Arabidopsis thaliana: one gene and its partners. The protein of the gene in region 3 interacts with the protein of the main gene of each other region in a pairwise test. Each region holds a gene or a part of one and is shown on either strand. Other genes may lie near its edges. The genes, in order: TPL, LSMT-L and HAT22.

What was found.
Region 1: the proteins of HAT22 (region 3) and TPL interact in a two-hybrid assay, tested with the Arabidopsis thaliana proteins (one study listed by BioGRID).
Region 2: the proteins of HAT22 (region 3) and LSMT-L interact in binary tests that used the Arabidopsis thaliana proteins (3 or more experiments, as listed by UniProt).

The regions. Positions count from the first base shown.
Region 1 is NC_003070.9:5,415,003-5,422,845, reverse strand, and holds the start of TPL (Transducin family protein / WD-40 repeat family protein), read left to right. Parts: upstream 1-1,812; 5' UTR 1,813-2,009; exon of another isoform or gene 2,010-2,272; 5' UTR 2,273-2,307; exon of another isoform or gene 2,308-2,414; 5' UTR 2,415-2,486; coding exon 2,487-2,566; intron 2,567-2,666; coding exon 2,667-2,846; intron 2,847-2,950; coding exon 2,951-3,064; intron 3,065-3,175; coding exon 3,176-3,334; intron 3,335-3,431; coding exon 3,432-3,609; intron 3,610-3,680; coding exon 3,681-3,804; intron 3,805-3,903; coding exon 3,904-4,185; intron 4,186-4,277; coding exon 4,278-4,387; intron 4,388-4,468; coding exon 4,469-4,538; intron 4,539-4,613; coding exon 4,614-4,687; intron 4,688-4,769; coding exon 4,770-4,961; intron 4,962-5,044; coding exon 5,045-5,407; intron 5,408-5,498; coding exon 5,499-5,639; intron 5,640-5,719; coding exon 5,720-5,815; intron 5,816-5,891; coding exon 5,892-6,038; intron 6,039-6,129; coding exon 6,130-6,240; intron 6,241-6,313; coding exon 6,314-6,493; intron 6,494-6,574; and 10 more. UniProt on the Arabidopsis thaliana protein: Transcriptional corepressor. May repress the expression of root-promoting genes in the top half of the embryo to allow proper differentiation of the shoot pole during the transition stage of embryogenesis. Regulates the expression of PLT1 and PLT2.
Region 2 is NC_003070.9:4,804,776-4,809,303, forward strand, and holds LSMT-L (Rubisco methyltransferase family protein), read right to left. Parts: upstream 2,743-4,528; 5' UTR 2,666-2,742; coding exon 2,202-2,665; intron 2,112-2,201; coding exon 2,083-2,111; intron 1,957-2,082; coding exon 1,745-1,956; intron 1,630-1,744; coding exon 1,507-1,629; intron 1,419-1,506; coding exon 1,014-1,418; exon of another isoform or gene 934-1,013; coding exon 718-933; 3' UTR 531-717; downstream 1-530. Other genes in the region: AT1G14020 (O-fucosyltransferase family protein), read left to right, coding at 69-336. UniProt on the Arabidopsis thaliana protein: Protein-lysine methyltransferase methylating chloroplastic fructose 1,6-bisphosphate aldolases. Can also use with low efficiency gamma-tocopherol methyltransferase as substrate, but not a cytosolic aldolase.
Region 3 is NC_003075.7:17,766,031-17,770,224, reverse strand, and holds HAT22 (Homeobox-leucine zipper protein family), read right to left. Parts: upstream 2,184-4,194; 5' UTR 1,985-2,183; coding exon 1,535-1,984; intron 1,440-1,534; coding exon 1,360-1,439; intron 1,260-1,359; coding exon 953-1,259; 3' UTR 549-952; downstream 1-548.

The DNA of each region.
Region 1 (7,843 bases), on a different chromosome or scaffold from region 3:
TTCTTTTTCTTGATATCATTCTAACTTAATCATTAGACTACAATCAATTTGTTTAGAATATATTTGTGTTGCGCTCATAACGATTCTTTTCAATATATATTGTTTGATTAAAGCTTTTAACAAAGTACAGTTTGCTTTCTAAATTATTTTTAACACGTATCCAGTTTTTTAAAAATATATAAAAATATATTCTTCACACCTATCATTTTTTATAAATAAAATATTTTTAACATTTAAAGATATATAAGATATTTCTAATAGTATAATTTATTTTTAATACTTATCATGTTTCTTAAATGGTTTGAACGCTTCGTTTCATTAGTTTATCCAACCTACCTCAGTTATGATATTACACTTTAGTAAAATAAAAAAAAACTGGTTATAAACTTAAAATATTATGCTTTGCTCGTATTAAAGAATTTCAGTACTTGTATATCGTTTTTTTAATTATTATTATGATTTATGACCTCGCGATTCGTGATGGTTAGTAGTAGACTAGTCGTAGTGGACAACTACTGTAAGAAAAAAAACTAAAAATAGATAGACACACACGCTAAATTAAATAAATCGTAAATCACGATTACATATTTATGTTTGTACTTGAAAATGTTATCGCTTTACGTGTGGTGATGGTGAGACAACAGTGTTTGTGTTTGGACGGGATAGATGTCAAATTACTCAAACGTGCGACTCTAAATTACACAAACTCTCATTTATTGCCCATCCTCCATCGATATCTTCACCCCTCTAATATATTTTAAAAATGTTATTTATAACTTCAACAATACACATTCGGTTTCATTTACAATTAATCCTTGCGTTATTATTACTTCTAAGCTATAGTATCTTGTACTTCCTTCCCCTGCTATTATTTAAACGGAAAGAATCCAGCTAATTCCGATCCACCTGCTCCTAGTAGCAATCTATCTATAAACAAACAAAACTAAAGTATAAATTATCACGAACATCTTAACAATAATAGTCAATGCAAGTGGTTCTTGTGTATACAAAGAATTAATAGGAACTACTATCCACATCCTTACGTTTACATTTTTCACAACCAATCATGCACTAAATTAACCTCTAATGAAAAAGTTAAAAATAAAGAATAATATTATCAAAGAATAATGATAATGTTCAGCAACATGTTGGACCAAGAAATGTTCAAACAATACTATAATATTGAAATATTTAGTAGTATTAGTTTTGTTCTTGTTTTTTTTATATGAGGAACATCAGCCATATCGTATAAATCGTGATAAACCGAGTTTATAAATCATATTTCGTATCTCGCCGAGAAGAAAGACGACGTAGCATCTTTACGAGTTGAACATTTCTCCATCACGTGATGTTCGATGAGTTAACGCATCTCAAGAGCAATTGGCTCTTCAATGTCATATCCGTAAATATTAGTCAAACTTGAGGGCAATGACTCAATATAAAAAGCTTTGTCGTGCCACGAGGGATCTGGAGACAAGTCTGACACATTGAATGAAACTCTAGCCGTTAGATCTCCGTCCTCCGCGCCATCTGACAAAATCGACGGTTTTCCAGATAGGTGTAAAACTCATCGCGAAGGAGTGGATCACACCTCTGTGGAGTACAGCTGGCAACTAATATTCCGAGCCGATAACGTCGAGAAATGTAGCCGATCAAGTCGTAGTTATAAGCAGTTCTACTTATCATTCCTGCTTATCGCAGTTAGCTTTTCTTAGAGTGATAGCTAACTTATTTTATCAGCATCCAATTATCTGTCACCTTCTCTTATTAAAATCTCCATTTCTGCAAGTTTTAATGTCCGTATATATATCTCGAAGAGAGAGAAAATCCCTTTTTCTCTAGATAGAGAGAGAGAGAGAGAGAGAGAAGAAGAAGCTTTTTAATTTAGTTTTGCTTTCTTTCAAGTTTCCTTTTTTCGATAGAGAGAAAAAGAGTCCAAAAATCAATCCATCACCTCTTTCGTCTCTGTGGTCTTCTTCTTCTTCTTCATCGATCTCTCTCTCTTTATGGTGAGTAAGCTTCACGCTTCTTTCTTCTACCTTTGTTGCCTCTGTTAATGGAATCTAGCTGTTTCGAGTTTTATTGTATATATTTTTTTATCCTTTTGCCCAAACTTTTTTCTGGGTTTTGCTTTATTTTTTCATCCCCCTTTCTGATAATTAATTTGCTTTTTTCATGTAGTAAAAAAAGATTCTTTTTTTAAGCTATTAAATTCACATCTTCCAATTCCAGGAAGACCTAAATTTCCTCTTTTTTTTGCCGTTATCTGCAGAGATGCGAAGTTTCTGGATAATTATTCAGATATAGGTTCCAAGTTTTTAGCTTTCATTTCTAACTTCTCTTTTCGTGTTTTTTAATTTCCATAATCTGGAAACTCAGATTTGAGCTCATTTCGGCCATTGTTTATATTGCAGATCTGGTGATAGTTTGGTTAGTTGTTGTGCATCTGAGTTAGAAAAAAGTCTTTTAAGGAAGTGAGAGAAAACATGTCTTCTCTTAGTAGAGAGCTCGTTTTCTTGATCTTACAGTTTCTCGATGAAGAGAAGTTTAAAGAGACTGTTCACAAGTATGTCTCTTTTGCTCTGTAGATTTCCTTGGATCTAATTTACCAACTGACCTGTTTAGCTCTTGTGTTGGTTAATGCATTATTGCTTTGTCATGTTCAGGCTTGAACAAGAATCTGGGTTTTTCTTCAATATGAAGTATTTTGAGGATGAGGTTCACAATGGAAATTGGGATGAGGTTGAGAAGTATCTCTCTGGTTTCACTAAAGTAGATGATAATAGATACTCTATGAAGATATTCTTCGAGATAAGAAAGCAGAAGTATCTCGAGGCTTTGGATAAGTAAGTCATGGTTGGGGATTTGTTTTTTTTTTTTCCTTTCAGTGAGATAGCAAAAGAAAAAGAGTCTGATTTGTGATTGACCTTGGTGACTTTTTTGTTGGTAGGCATGATCGTCCCAAGGCTGTGGATATACTAGTGAAGGATTTGAAAGTGTTTTCAACTTTTAATGAGGAGCTTTTCAAGGAAATAACACAGCTCTTGACATTGGAGAACTTCCGGTAATGTTATATTGGATTAATGTAGTGTCCAAAGCCTTTGTTTTCTTAGCCGTAGTTCAAAAGAAAGATTGATGCAGAGTATTAAGTGTTTCGAGTTTGATCAACTTTTAGGGAGAATGAACAGTTATCCAAGTATGGGGACACCAAGTCTGCAAGAGCGATCATGTTGGTGGAACTCAAAAAGCTGATTGAGGCGAATCCTTTATTCCGTGATAAATTGCAGTTCCCTACTCTTAGAAATTCAAGGCTGAGGACTTTGATCAACCAGAGGTTTATTGCTTTGTCCCTTAATCTTTTTGTCTTATTCACTTCAAGTTGTTGTTGGCATATTAATTCATTCTATCTTTTGTTACTGCATAACTCGCAGCTTAAATTGGCAACACCAGCTTTGTAAAAATCCAAGGCCAAATCCAGATATCAAGACTCTTTTTGTGGATCACTCTTGTGGCCCTCCAAATGGCGCACGAGCTCCATCTCCTGTGAACAATCCACTGCTTGGAGGGATACCAAAGGCTGGAGGATTTCCTCCTTTAGGCGCACACGGGGTAATTTAGTTTCTATCATTTTTATTTATGTTTTCCTGAGGCCAAGTGTTTGATTGTCTCTATGTTTCCAGCCATTTCAACCAACGGCGTCACCTGTTCCAACACCTCTTGCTGGTTGGATGTCTAGTCCATCCTCTGTCCCACATCCAGCTGTCTCAGCAGGAGCCATTGCACTTGGTGGTCCATCAATCCCAGGTACTACTTGCTTATCAAATGTGTATGTTTCTTCAGACACACTTTGTGTGATCTATGCAATTTGCTTACAATGGAACTCCTTTCCTATCTTTGGTATAGCGGCGTTGAAGCACCCGAGAACTCCTCCAACTAATGCTTCTTTAGACTACCCGTCAGCAGATTCTGAACATGTCTCAAAAAGAACAAGACCAATGGGAATCTCTGACGAGGTGAATCTAGGCGTGAACATGTTACCGATGTCATTTTCAGGGCAGGCCCATGGTCATTCTCCGGCTTTCAAAGCACCTGACGACTTGCCCAAGACAGTTGCGAGAACTTTGAGTCAGGGCTCATCTCCCATGAGCATGGATTTCCATCCAATTAAACAGACCCTGCTTCTAGGTGTGTTTCTTGCTCTCTGTATGTGCTTCTGTGTAATAATAATAATAATAATCATCAGCAATTTTCTAAATTCGTTTGAATTGTTGTACCAGTTGGTACAAATGTAGGTGATATCGGGCTGTGGGAAGTTGGTTCTCGCGAAAGATTAGTACAGAAGACGTTCAAAGTCTGGGATTTGAGTAAATGTTCAATGCCCTTGCAGGTGCCTATGCATAGCAACAACAAAATGTTAACTTTTATATATGTTATGAATCTACAGTGACTGAATTAGTTGTATCTTCAGGCTGCTCTGGTGAAAGAACCTGTCGTTTCTGTCAACCGTGTGATATGGAGCCCTGACGGTTCCTTGTTTGGTAAAGAACTCGCCTTTAAATTTATATCTGCACATGAATGCAACTTTATAAGTCACCAAACGTTCTGAATTGCAGGAGTTGCTTACTCGAGACATATTGTACAACTATACTCTTATCACGGAGGTGAAGACATGAGGCAACACCTTGAGGTCTCGTACCATTCACAAGCCTCTCTCTTTAACAATCGTTTTTTCCCTTGGGGATTTTCTTGTAATATTGTGATTATTTCAGATTGATGCTCATGTTGGTGGTGTGAATGATATTTCCTTCTCGACTCCAAACAAGCAACTATGTGTAATAACTTGTGGTGATGACAAAACCATCAAGGTTTGGGACGCTGCAACAGGTGTCAAAAGGCATACTTTTGAAGGCCATGAAGCTCCTGTTTATTCCGTTTGTCCTCATTACAAGGAAAACATTCAGGTAAGCTTAGCTAACCGTTGATCTCCCTCCCTTCTATTAAATGTTTCAGTTTTTTGATGTGTTGTATTTTTCCTGTCATCAAGTTCATATTTTCAACAGCTCTTGATGGGAAAATTAAGGCTTGGTTGTATGATAATATGGGTTCCCGAGTTGACTATGATGCACCTGGTCGCTGGTGTACTACAATGGCTTATAGTGCCGATGGTACTAGGCTATTCTCTTGTGGGACGAGTAAAGATGGAGAGTCTTTCATTGTTGAGTGGAATGAAAGCGAAGGAGCTGTTAAAAGAACTTATCAAGGATTCCACAAGCGTTCTCTAGGTGTTGTGCAGTTTGATACAACTAAAAACCGTTATCTAGCTGCGGGTGATGATTTCTCCATCAAGTTCTGGGATATGGACGCTGTACAGCTTTTAACTGCCATTGATGGCGATGGAGGCCTCCAGGTACATGAACAAAAAATGCCTAACTAGAAAAGTTTTCAGATATTCTTTTGGAGTTTCTTCTTAACTTGCGCTTCTAATATATTTAAACTAGGCAAGCCCGCGTATCCGGTTCAACAAGGAAGGCTCTCTCCTGGCCGTGTCTGGCAACGAGAATGTGATCAAGATTATGGCAAACTCAGATGGTCTAAGGCTATTGCACACTTTTGAGAACATATCATCTGAATCCTCCAAGGTACTTAAAATCTAAGCTAAGCTTTAAATTACTTACACCCAATTGAAAGATTTAGTCAACACTTCATTCTACATTTGCAGCCTGCAATAAACAGCATAGCAGCGGCAGCGGCAGCTGCTGCAACAAGTGCTGGTCACGCAGATCGATCAGCCAATGTAGTTTCCATCCAAGGAATGGTAAGAAATACAATTCTTTTTTGTTCTTTCACTCACTTTATTTTATCTTTCTATTATTCATCACTTGCCTTTTTAGAATGGAGATTCGCGGAATATGGTGGATGTGAAGCCAGTGATCACAGAAGAATCAAATGATAAGTCTAAGATATGGAAGCTTACTGAAGTCAGCGAGCCTTCTCAATGCAGGTCACTGAGACTCCCTGAGAATCTGAGAGTAGCCAAGGTATATAAAATATACATTTTCTGAGCCATGTATAGGGTATATATATATAGCTGTTCTTTTTTCTGACAATAAAACCAATGACTTTTGGCAGATATCAAGATTGATTTTCACGAATTCGGGAAATGCTATTTTGGCTCTGGCATCAAACGCAATTCATCTTCTATGGAAATGGCAGCGGAATGAGCGCAACGCAACTGGAAAGGTGAAATTGAGACTCTTTCTTAGTCAAATAATGATAAGTGTCACTGATCTCTACATCTCGATTTTCCGTGTAGGCGACAGCTTCTTTACCGCCTCAGCAGTGGCAACCAGCTAGTGGGATCCTCATGACTAACGATGTTGCTGAAACCAATCCCGAGGAAGCTGTACCTTGTTTTGCTTTATCCAAGAATGATTCATATGTAATGTCAGCCTCCGGAGGAAAGATATCCTTATTTAACATGATGACGTTTAAGGTAATGGGGACACATAGATGCTGATCTTTTGATGTTCTGTGTATGCAATTTGACTGACTGTTCTTGGCTAATAATTTGCAGACAATGGCGACTTTCATGCCCCCACCACCGGCTGCTACTTTTCTTGCTTTTCATCCTCAAGACAACAATATCATCGCTATTGGGATGGATGATAGCACGATTCAGATTTATAATGTCCGTGTTGATGAGGTAATGCATCAAAACTCAAGAGAAGAATGTAGAAAAGAAGATGAAGTGTTTTGTTTGTTAATATGATGGCCATCATGTTCCTTGTTTGCTCCTGCAGGTGAAGAGTAAGCTTAAAGGTCATTCAAAGAGAATAACTGGTCTTGCCTTCTCCAACGTATTAAACGTGTTGGTTTCGTCTGGAGCAGATGCACAGGTTCCCGCCTTAGACCATTTTTTTTTTTTTTTTTGAGAATCGATGAAGAAAAGATCAATAGTCTTTGAAATGTTTTTGTTTCAGCTTTGTGTTTGGAACACAGATGGATGGGAAAAGCAGAGAAGCAAGGTTTTGCCACTTCCACAGGGAAGACCAAACAGTGCACCTTCAGATACGCGTGTTCAGTTCCATCAAGATCAAGCTCACTTCCTCGTTGTGCACGAGACGCAACTTGCTATATACGAAACTACCAAGCTCGAATGCATGAAACAGGTATTTTATATTTATAGGCCGCTCTCTCTAAGATCTGCAATTTATTGCATTTGAAAGATGATTAATGATTGCAATGTTTCAGTGGGCTGTTCGAGAATCATTAGCTCCAATCACTCATGCCACATTCTCATGCGATAGCCAATTGGTCTACGCGAGTTTTATGGATGCAACAGTTTGTGTATTTAGCTCTGCAAATCTACGGCTGCGTTGCCGGGTCAACCCTTCTGCGTATCTACCAGCTAGTCTCAGGTAAACAGAGGAATCTTGAAATTTACCCAAAAAAACAGAGGAATCTTTAAATTTCGGAAAGAACGTTTCTAAACATCAATCGGTTAGTTGTTTATATATCATAAAGCTCCTCTTGTTGACTTGTGCAGCAATTCAAACGTACATCCACTAGTGATTGCTGCACATCCGCAAGAACCAAACATGTTTGCAGTTGGTCTCTCAGACGGGGGAGTGCACATATTCGAACCGCTCGAGTCTGAAGGTAAATGGGGAGTCGCTCCACCGGCTGAGAACGGGTCGGCTAGCGGTGCACCAACTGCACCTTCCGTTGGAGCCTCTGCATCTGATCAGCCTCAGAGATGATCTGATCCGAGAGCCACCTACCTCTCTGATTCCCTTTCTTCTATTTAAAAGTCTTTTCTTTCTTATTTTTTTGGTAGAAAAAT
Region 2 (4,528 bases), on a different chromosome or scaffold from region 3:
TGTTAAGAATAACCAAACCTGTGATTCTATATAACCATTATTGGTCTATATCTGATTTGAATTTGCAGATACCTTGGATATAAGAAGACAATCCTGCTTGACCGTAAGAGACTCGTGGAGCTACTAGACTTACATCACAACAAGACCCTCACGTGGGATCAGTTTGCAGTAGCAGTCAAGGAAGCCCATGAGAGACGAGCAGGAGCACCTACTCATCGAAGAGTAATCTCTGACAAACCTAAGGAGGAAGATTACTTCTACGCAAATCCTCAAGAATGTCTTTGTGAAGGTACAAATTGCCACGACCTGTTTGGCCATAGAAATTTAACACATTGAAGTCATGTTTTTAGCATATTATATCTCATTGCTTCCGCAAGAGGACGGCATGTCAAACACTTGAACGGGAGCTGCATAGTTCCTTCCCTGAGTTTTTCCATTTTTGTTTGTAATTTTTTTCAATTTTCCTGCATAGTTGCTGATCTTGATTTATTTAGTTTTACGTAAATTAAGATGTAACTAAAAAGAAGATTATGTCTCATCTTATAGAATTTCAAAAAGCCTGCTTTTGGCAATAGCCTAACATACAAATTGTGGTCTCTCAACTCTGATGTCTTGAGGTTGATTCAAGTCTATGTGGTCTGAGACCAAACCAGTAAAGATTTTCTTTCTAGCCTTGAGTTTGTTCTGCAGGATAAGCTATACAAGCTAAGCTAATTCTCACTTGGTTTCCCAGAAGATAATATCCCCTTGTTCGCCAACCAACCCAAGATCTTTGAGCCTTCTCTCTTGGTAATACTCTAAAATGTCAAGTTCAAGCTCTCTATCCTTGAAGATTTGGTCGATTTGCTGAAGCACTCTCTTCTCACCAATCCTTATCTTGAGAGCCATTTCCAACCTAGGCTCAAGCTTTCCTTTGTCCAGAAGCTTCTCATCCTACAACAGACGATGAAGACGAGTAAGAAATGAGTGTTAAGCTGCAAAGACAGTACAAGTAAGAGCTCGAACATATATACCTCTTCAATGGTCGTATCAAAACCAGACAGAGCAGATTTGCAGGCATCTCTGACAACACGGCATATGAGTTCCTCGTTTGTACGACTTACAGGCAATTCAAGATGACCCCATATGGTGTTATTGAAGATAGATTCTAATAAGAAAGCATCTGGACCGCCAAGAGCCACAAGCCGAAGGTACTGAAGCATACCAGCGGGAAGAGTCTGGCCGTCTACTATGTCAAAGTATCCGGTCTCACCCATCTTGTTACTCTCAGCAATATCCAACTTATCCCCAAAGAATGGGTCTGATTCTGGTATCTCTATTGTTAAAGTATATGAGTTCCGTTTAGGGTTTGATTCCACAAAACCATAGTCGAGAGCAAGTTCTGCATTGCTTTTGTTCAGATCGTACTGAATGTATACCTATGGAAGAGATCATCCAAACAGTATTAAAGGGCTTGTTCTTACACTCTTGAGGGAGAAAACTAAGTAGACAGTGTTTGGAGCATACCTGCTCACCTGCTTTAACATAAACAGGTGACTTCAAGGAAAATAAGAGATCTCTAGAGAAAAGGCCGGCTCCTTTGATCTCGTATGCATAATCTTCTGTCTTTATCGCGGGGTTATGGTTTATCTGTTCAAATTCAAACATTGAAGTCAGAGATTCTCTGCTGAGCCAAGCATCAATGAATGAAGATTATTTTCTGAAGTTTTCACTAGACAATATCTGAAACAAGAAGATAGCTTGCCAAGTCTGCAAGAGGGATCAAGACAAGGTTTTGGCCACGGAGACGAGAAAAAGCCCTCGACTTGAGGATCCCAAACGCCCATATGAAGTCATCAAGTGTTATGCGGGATGAGAAGAGATCTTTGTTAGGCAGTAATATCTCTTGTTCCAGTTTCAAGAATTCATTCTCCACATACTCTTTCACACCCAATGTGGTGCTCAACAGTTGAGTCCCTGAGCCAAACAACAGTAACCACAAAGTTAATAATGTACATCATCATCAGCTACTGCTACTCAGACCAATTGGTATGAATCTAAACAATGATCAGACTTTTCAAAGAAAAGGGTAAGAAAATGGACCTTTAAGCTCAGCAAGCTCCTCTTCTGACCTGTACTGGAGACATTTCACGAAGAAGACATCTCATCAGCTTAGTGTTGATCAGAGATACAATTGATGATCAGAGAAGGACAAAACCCACCAGAAGACAGTAGAATCAGTAGATTGAGGAAGCATATCAAGATAAACTCTCCATGAAGACTCTTCTTCATACTTCTCTCTGATCAAAAACAGAGCTACTGAAACCCACGGCTTTAATCCGCCGCATAAAGGTCCAATCTTGGAAGCAGTCACTGTCTCTGGGTTTATCCACAATCGCTTGGGAATCTCCAATACGACCTCGTTTCTTCCAATATCACGCCTGGCTACAAGTCCCAAACCTTCCGGTACCACCGCAGGTTCTGCCACAGACTTCCCGGATACGACTCCTTGGTCTCTGAGCCATTTCCAGAAATTCCGAACATTTTCCGGCAACTCTGAGCTTGAAGCTGAAATGGGTCTCACCAAAGATTTCTTGGGTCGAGAAAAGAGAAAGGAAGGGTTTTGAGACTTTTGAATTGACGGGATACGGAGAAAACCCGACACGACGGCGACGGAGGCTGACATGGTGGTTTTCCGATGGCGGGTAGTATCAGTGAAACAGAGAGTGTGTGGATAACAATAATATCACATCAGTTTTTTCTAAGTTGTTGATGAGACAAAAATCTAGTTATTCTAGTTACCAATGTTAAAGGCCCATTATTCTAAAAGGCCAAGGCCTACATTTTATTTTTGTTCTGATGTAATTAAATTGTTAATTGTCTGTATTTATTTTCATTTTTAAAAAATTATCTTTTTAACTTATGGTAGCTTCAACTTCTTTTTCTTTTTTTTTTTTGTCATCTCAACCTTTGTAAGAAGAAAAATGGTCAACTATAGCTTCAACCTCAAATCTACTGACTTGACACTTGAGTTTTAAATAGGTAACATCTCATGGAGATCCCAATATTCATTCTAAATTCCTCCAAGATAATGCAACATGTTACAACAACAACAACAACAACAACAACAACAACAACAACAACAACAACAACAACAAAAGAGATTGGCCGAGACATATATGTAGTATGTACCCACCATATCACACATACCTTCATAATCATCATCATCATCATAATATCAAGTGGTCTAATTCAAATGTTTTTGATTTAATTATGTGTTTAAGTAGTTCATATTTAATTGTGTGCTAAAATACTTATTGTAATTGAAGAATCAAATATACAAGTCTTATTCACTATTCTTAATCAAATAGAAATTAGTCTTAAATTTGTAATTTAGGGGGTACAATGATCCACTATTCTCCATCAACGTAGAAGACAAGTAATTTACTTTGTAATATAGGTAATGGTACGTACGTAGTAATCACATGTAAAAGCGGAACTTTCCTTTCTCTTGTTTTGCCGGCTTGACCACGGGATATGAGACCAGTAAGGTACATGTGTAATGTGATACCTATCAGAAACCCTATTACACTCTTATCAAAAAACAAAACAAAACCTATTACACTCTCTCGGCTTAATTAAGATTATGATCAATTCCAAATATGTTTCTGATATAACTTTAATTATTAACGAGAAAACCAAAGTTTATTGCTACTTTTTTCCGTCGAAATGGCCGCTATTTTAAGTTTTAGACAATAACTTGGTCCATGAAATTAAGGTACAACGTCGATATTGATTAAGATCAGTTTACTTTTGCTAATATAACGTGTTAAGTTTGAGATGGGAGACACGTGAATGACTTTTCATTACTTTCAAAAATTGTTCAAAATTCCAAAATTGGCAACAAGACTGTTTTAGTTGTTAATATGCAATTAGACTGTTTCAATAGAGTGTATTTTTCTTTGTCAAAATGTAATAAGTACTAATTTGTCATACAAAATATCAAATGTCAAGAACATAAACTCTTCTAACGGAACCGCTTGTCGCGCCGAAACTCGTGTGGTAAACCTGAAAAACAACTCACTAATCGCAATTTTAAATCAGAGACTGAGAAAACACTTCTCACGAAAACCACAAAACGCGGTCAATATCGGGATGACGACATGATGTGGTGGTCGGATTGACACAATTCAGGTTGGTCAACAAAATTCATCCCTCTAAAATATATTTTCTTAGTTCGTTGCCAAACAGATATCTTACCTTTACTCTTTTTTTTTTTTTTTTAAAAACTCATATAAATAGGATAGTTATTAAATTTAACTACAAATGGTATTGTATATGTATATTCTATGGCTAGGTGAAAAGGCTTCCTTTAGTTCGAGAAGGTCAAAATGGATGGCTAATTAACTTTTATATACAAACAGTATATGCCTAACATTTAATAAGGAGAGACTCAGATTCCTTGTCAACTACTCACTATTGTCTCCATGACTCTTTAAAAAATATATTTTTATAGAATCTTAGTATTCAGAAATTAAACCGTAGCCTT
Region 3 (4,194 bases):
AAATATAATTATTATATCTGGAGCCAAAACAAATAAATGTATATATGTCATATGACTGATGAGTCAGAAAAAAAACACTAATAAAATGTGAATTTTGAATAAATATATTTTGATGTATTGATATAGATTGGTTTGGCTTACCGTCTCATCTTTTATTTTTTTCATACCTTTACCTTCGTGAAGTTTTAGGATTCTCCATCTATTTAGTTATACTAGTTATAAGTGTTTTATTTATCGGTGGCAAATTATTTCAATCAATTTTATTTCCATTTTTGGGTTTGACGGTTGAAATCAAAACCAAGTTGGCACCAGTGTCTCATTAAGATGAACGATTAGTAAAGAATAATAGAGACTTGGCTAATTAAAGAAACTCTGAAATTATAAAATCGTAGTGGATACTTTACAAATATATACACGAATCCTCCTGTTAAGAATCAATCTAAGAATCTTTAAAATACGGAAGAGTGTTTGGTTGTTTATGTTTGTAAAGTGTGAACTCAAATTAGAACCCATATTTAAATATCATTTAACAGTATAAATCAATATTATACTCACATGAATGAACAATCATTTGTTAAGGATACGTCGTCAGACGTGATATAAACTTGTACAAAATTTATCAAATAATATATTTATTATTTTTACAAGCAAATTTATATTACCGTAATACATATTCGAAGGAAAAAAAAACAAGATAATACATATTCGTCATTTTTTCTCTACATATTTAAACCTGTAATTACAAACTATTTTTTTTTCTTCATCAACCAACAATCCCACCGAAAAATAAAGTGGAATCGTTGAAGAGTCTTATCTATAAAGACTATACCCCATTTCCCCCCAATTTCAACGTAATATTTTTTCCCTGGGATTTATCTTCTAACTAATTCCTAATTTGATTTAAGAAACAAAAAAAAAACCAACAAAAAGAAATTAAATAACTAATAAGTAACTAACATGCTGCAGAAGGATTAGTGAAAGGGTTATAGAAACGAGGCTTTGTGACGATGGAGAAAGCTCCTTTCGCCGTTTCTTCATCAACCGCCGTCGTATCTCCTCCGACACCACCACCGCCGAGTCTCTCACAAGAAGGGCACATAGTCAAAGTCGCCGCCGGCATGTGCATGTAAAACGGTTGAGACAATTTTAAAGCCTTAAGGTCTTGAAGCTCTTTTTGAAGCCTTCTATTCTCATCCGTTAAAGTCTCGCAACATTTCTTCAAAAACTCACAATCCACTTCTGTTTGCTTTAGTTTTGTTCTGTTCAAATTAAAATTTAATTAAAAAATATTTTTATGAACCAAAATAAAGAAAGAAAAGTATGATATTAAAATTCACAAAAGTAATCAATTATATTTACCTAGCTCTCCTGTTTTGGAACCACACTTCAACTTGTCTAGGCCTTAGATTCAGCTGTCTCGCAAGAGCTTGTTTTTGCTTCTGTAAATTCATAGAAAAAATAATTAACGATATGATTAACGTAAATAAGAAGAGACTGATTAGTTTAATTAAGGAAATAATTAACTATATCATACGGGATTAAGGGTGCTATGAAGTTTGAAGTTATCTTCGAGAAGAGCAGATTGTTGTTTAGTGAGTCTAAGCTTTTTACGAGCACTAACACCTTCTTCATCGTCATGATCATCACTCACTCTCGAACACACCACTCTCTCCGTCGTCTCCTCCGCCTCTTCTTCTCCATCGCCGCCGGAGATTTCTCTTTCTCTCTTTACCCTTCCGCTCGAGAAAGATGAGATGCCGCTGTGGGACGAGGTCTGCCGGCAAATTTGGTCGCCGGCGCCGGCACCAGTCTTGATCTTGTAGCTCTCACCGGATAGGCTTAGAGTCAACGACGGATCGAGCCTGATGAAACGATGGTCCACAGTGGAGGAAGATTTCTTGATGGCATGATTGTAATTATTAGGCGTTGGTGAGAGGCCTAAACCAAGAACAAGACCTGTGTTGCATGAATCATCAAGACCCATTTGAATTTTCTCTTCGTATTAATATAATCTTTAAGATCTTGAGAATTAATATTATGAAGAAAATTGTTTGTTAAGAATTTCTTCTGGTGAAGTTTGGAAGATTATGGGACGAAATGAAACCAAGATGGCTTCTTCTTAAGAAGGGGAAGAGAGTTTTTATTTTGTCTTTTTAATTTTTATTTTTAATTTTTGATGGGTGGGTGGGTGGGTGGCTAATAATTAGAATTAATCAAGGAATGTATTTATTTTGCTTACTTTTTTATATGGAATTTTCGAAAAAAAGAATGTGGAAAATTATGATAGCACAATTCTCTCTCCTTTGTATTTTCTTACTTACAAAGGTTGACCAAATGCGCACCCCACTTGCAACTATTATTCCCACTTCATAAATTTTCAGTATGTTTATTCATAGTATACAAATTTATACTCTGAGAATATAATTTTTATGACGTGGTATGAAAATTAAATTAGTTTTAAAAACCCAAAAAAAAAAAAAAAACGGTTCAACGCAATTTTTTTTTGGGTGTAATAGATTTTAGTCTCTCCAAAACTTTCGATTAGACTTTTAAACTCCTATATCCGAATTGATGGTTTGCATTTCCTGATAAACTTACTTCTATCTTTTACCATTTATACATTGCTTTACATGTTTGTTTCAATTTGTTAATCGGGATATATATCCACAAATTCAATTCAAGTCAACAATACAATTACTAGCACATGACGAAACGATTCTATATCCTCCCATGCCCACATTCAAAGATCCAATGTTCTGTGATTGATATTTTAAAATATTTACTCGAGTACAGATATTCTTGTAATATACCACTGAAGCGTTAAATATAACTAACAGAACTGAAGACTTCCTTAAAATAAATTAGATTATAATCAAATGATACATTTAACTTATCTAAGTAGGAGTATCATAATAAGTTGTCAATAGAGAGTAATTAAGAGGCAACTTTAATTAAATAAGAGACCACATGAATTGTCTCCCACTCCATGCTTTGCTTGAAGAAGGTAGATATGGGTAACATGTCAGCTTGCCTACCAATCTTCAACTTCCTCACACTACACATTGGGTTTTTAATTAATTTCTTCTAATTTCTTTTTATATTCCCCTTTCTTGTATTATTATTTAGGGTTTCGGATTGTGATCTCCACTTTCTTGTTTTAGGTTCGGTTCTCTTGATCTGGCCAGATTGTGTTGGGACTTATTTATCCAATGATTTCTATCTATTTATTTCCACCGCATTCTAGTTTTGATAATACTATGCTTTTATTGATTACTAGTAGCATATATGTAGAAAATGCATAAATATCATTACTCGAATTTAAACAATTCATTACAGGACGTAACAAATTATCGTTACATTTTCTGTTTTTATCGTCTCTGCTCTTACAGTACAAAGTGTCTTTTTATAGAATTAGCTAGAAAAATATTGGAACTTTTTTTACTAACAGCACCTCGTTTAGATAAATATTTAATTAATTGAAACAGTAAAATGGCGGAATAGTTCAACATTAAGTTTCATTATTCTGTATCAAATATTGTGAATGGCCTGAATTAGAAACGGGTGGGAGAAGAAGATTGGTAATCATGGTGGTGGTGGAATGTGATTCGTCAAACAGAAATAATATTGTTGAGGGACTTAACTTGAAAGTCGACGTGGGACGTTTTATTGGTTTTAGCCATACATATTTTGTTTTTTTTGGCACTTTCTATTTTCCAACCAAGTTAGGTTACCCATATTGTACAAATTAATATATAAGCGTGGCCTCGAAGGAGAAGTGGAGAAAGTACTCACAATCCGATTAAAATACTAGCTTATTTGGATTACTTTGGTTTGCAATTTTTTTTTCTTCTGATTTGTTTTAAATTAGGTTTTTTATTTATTTATTTAAGAAACAATTGCAAACCAAAAAAAAAAAATGTGAACTACATGCATATGTAAAGCATTTTATTTATATAATCAATTAGAACATCATGATTTTTATAAAATATGGTAGTGTGAAAATCAAAAGTTTAACGTGTACATTGTTAGCCATTTTGGTCACTTGTAACAGCTAGAATAGTCGGGGCGTCAGAAGTTACAAATGAAGTTATTTAAATTCGCCTTTTGATCATTTTGCTGGTGTCTTTTGACTAAAAAGATTGCAATCGCCATTACCAAAATCTTCCTGACTTTATTTAAAGAGTCAATTTTGTT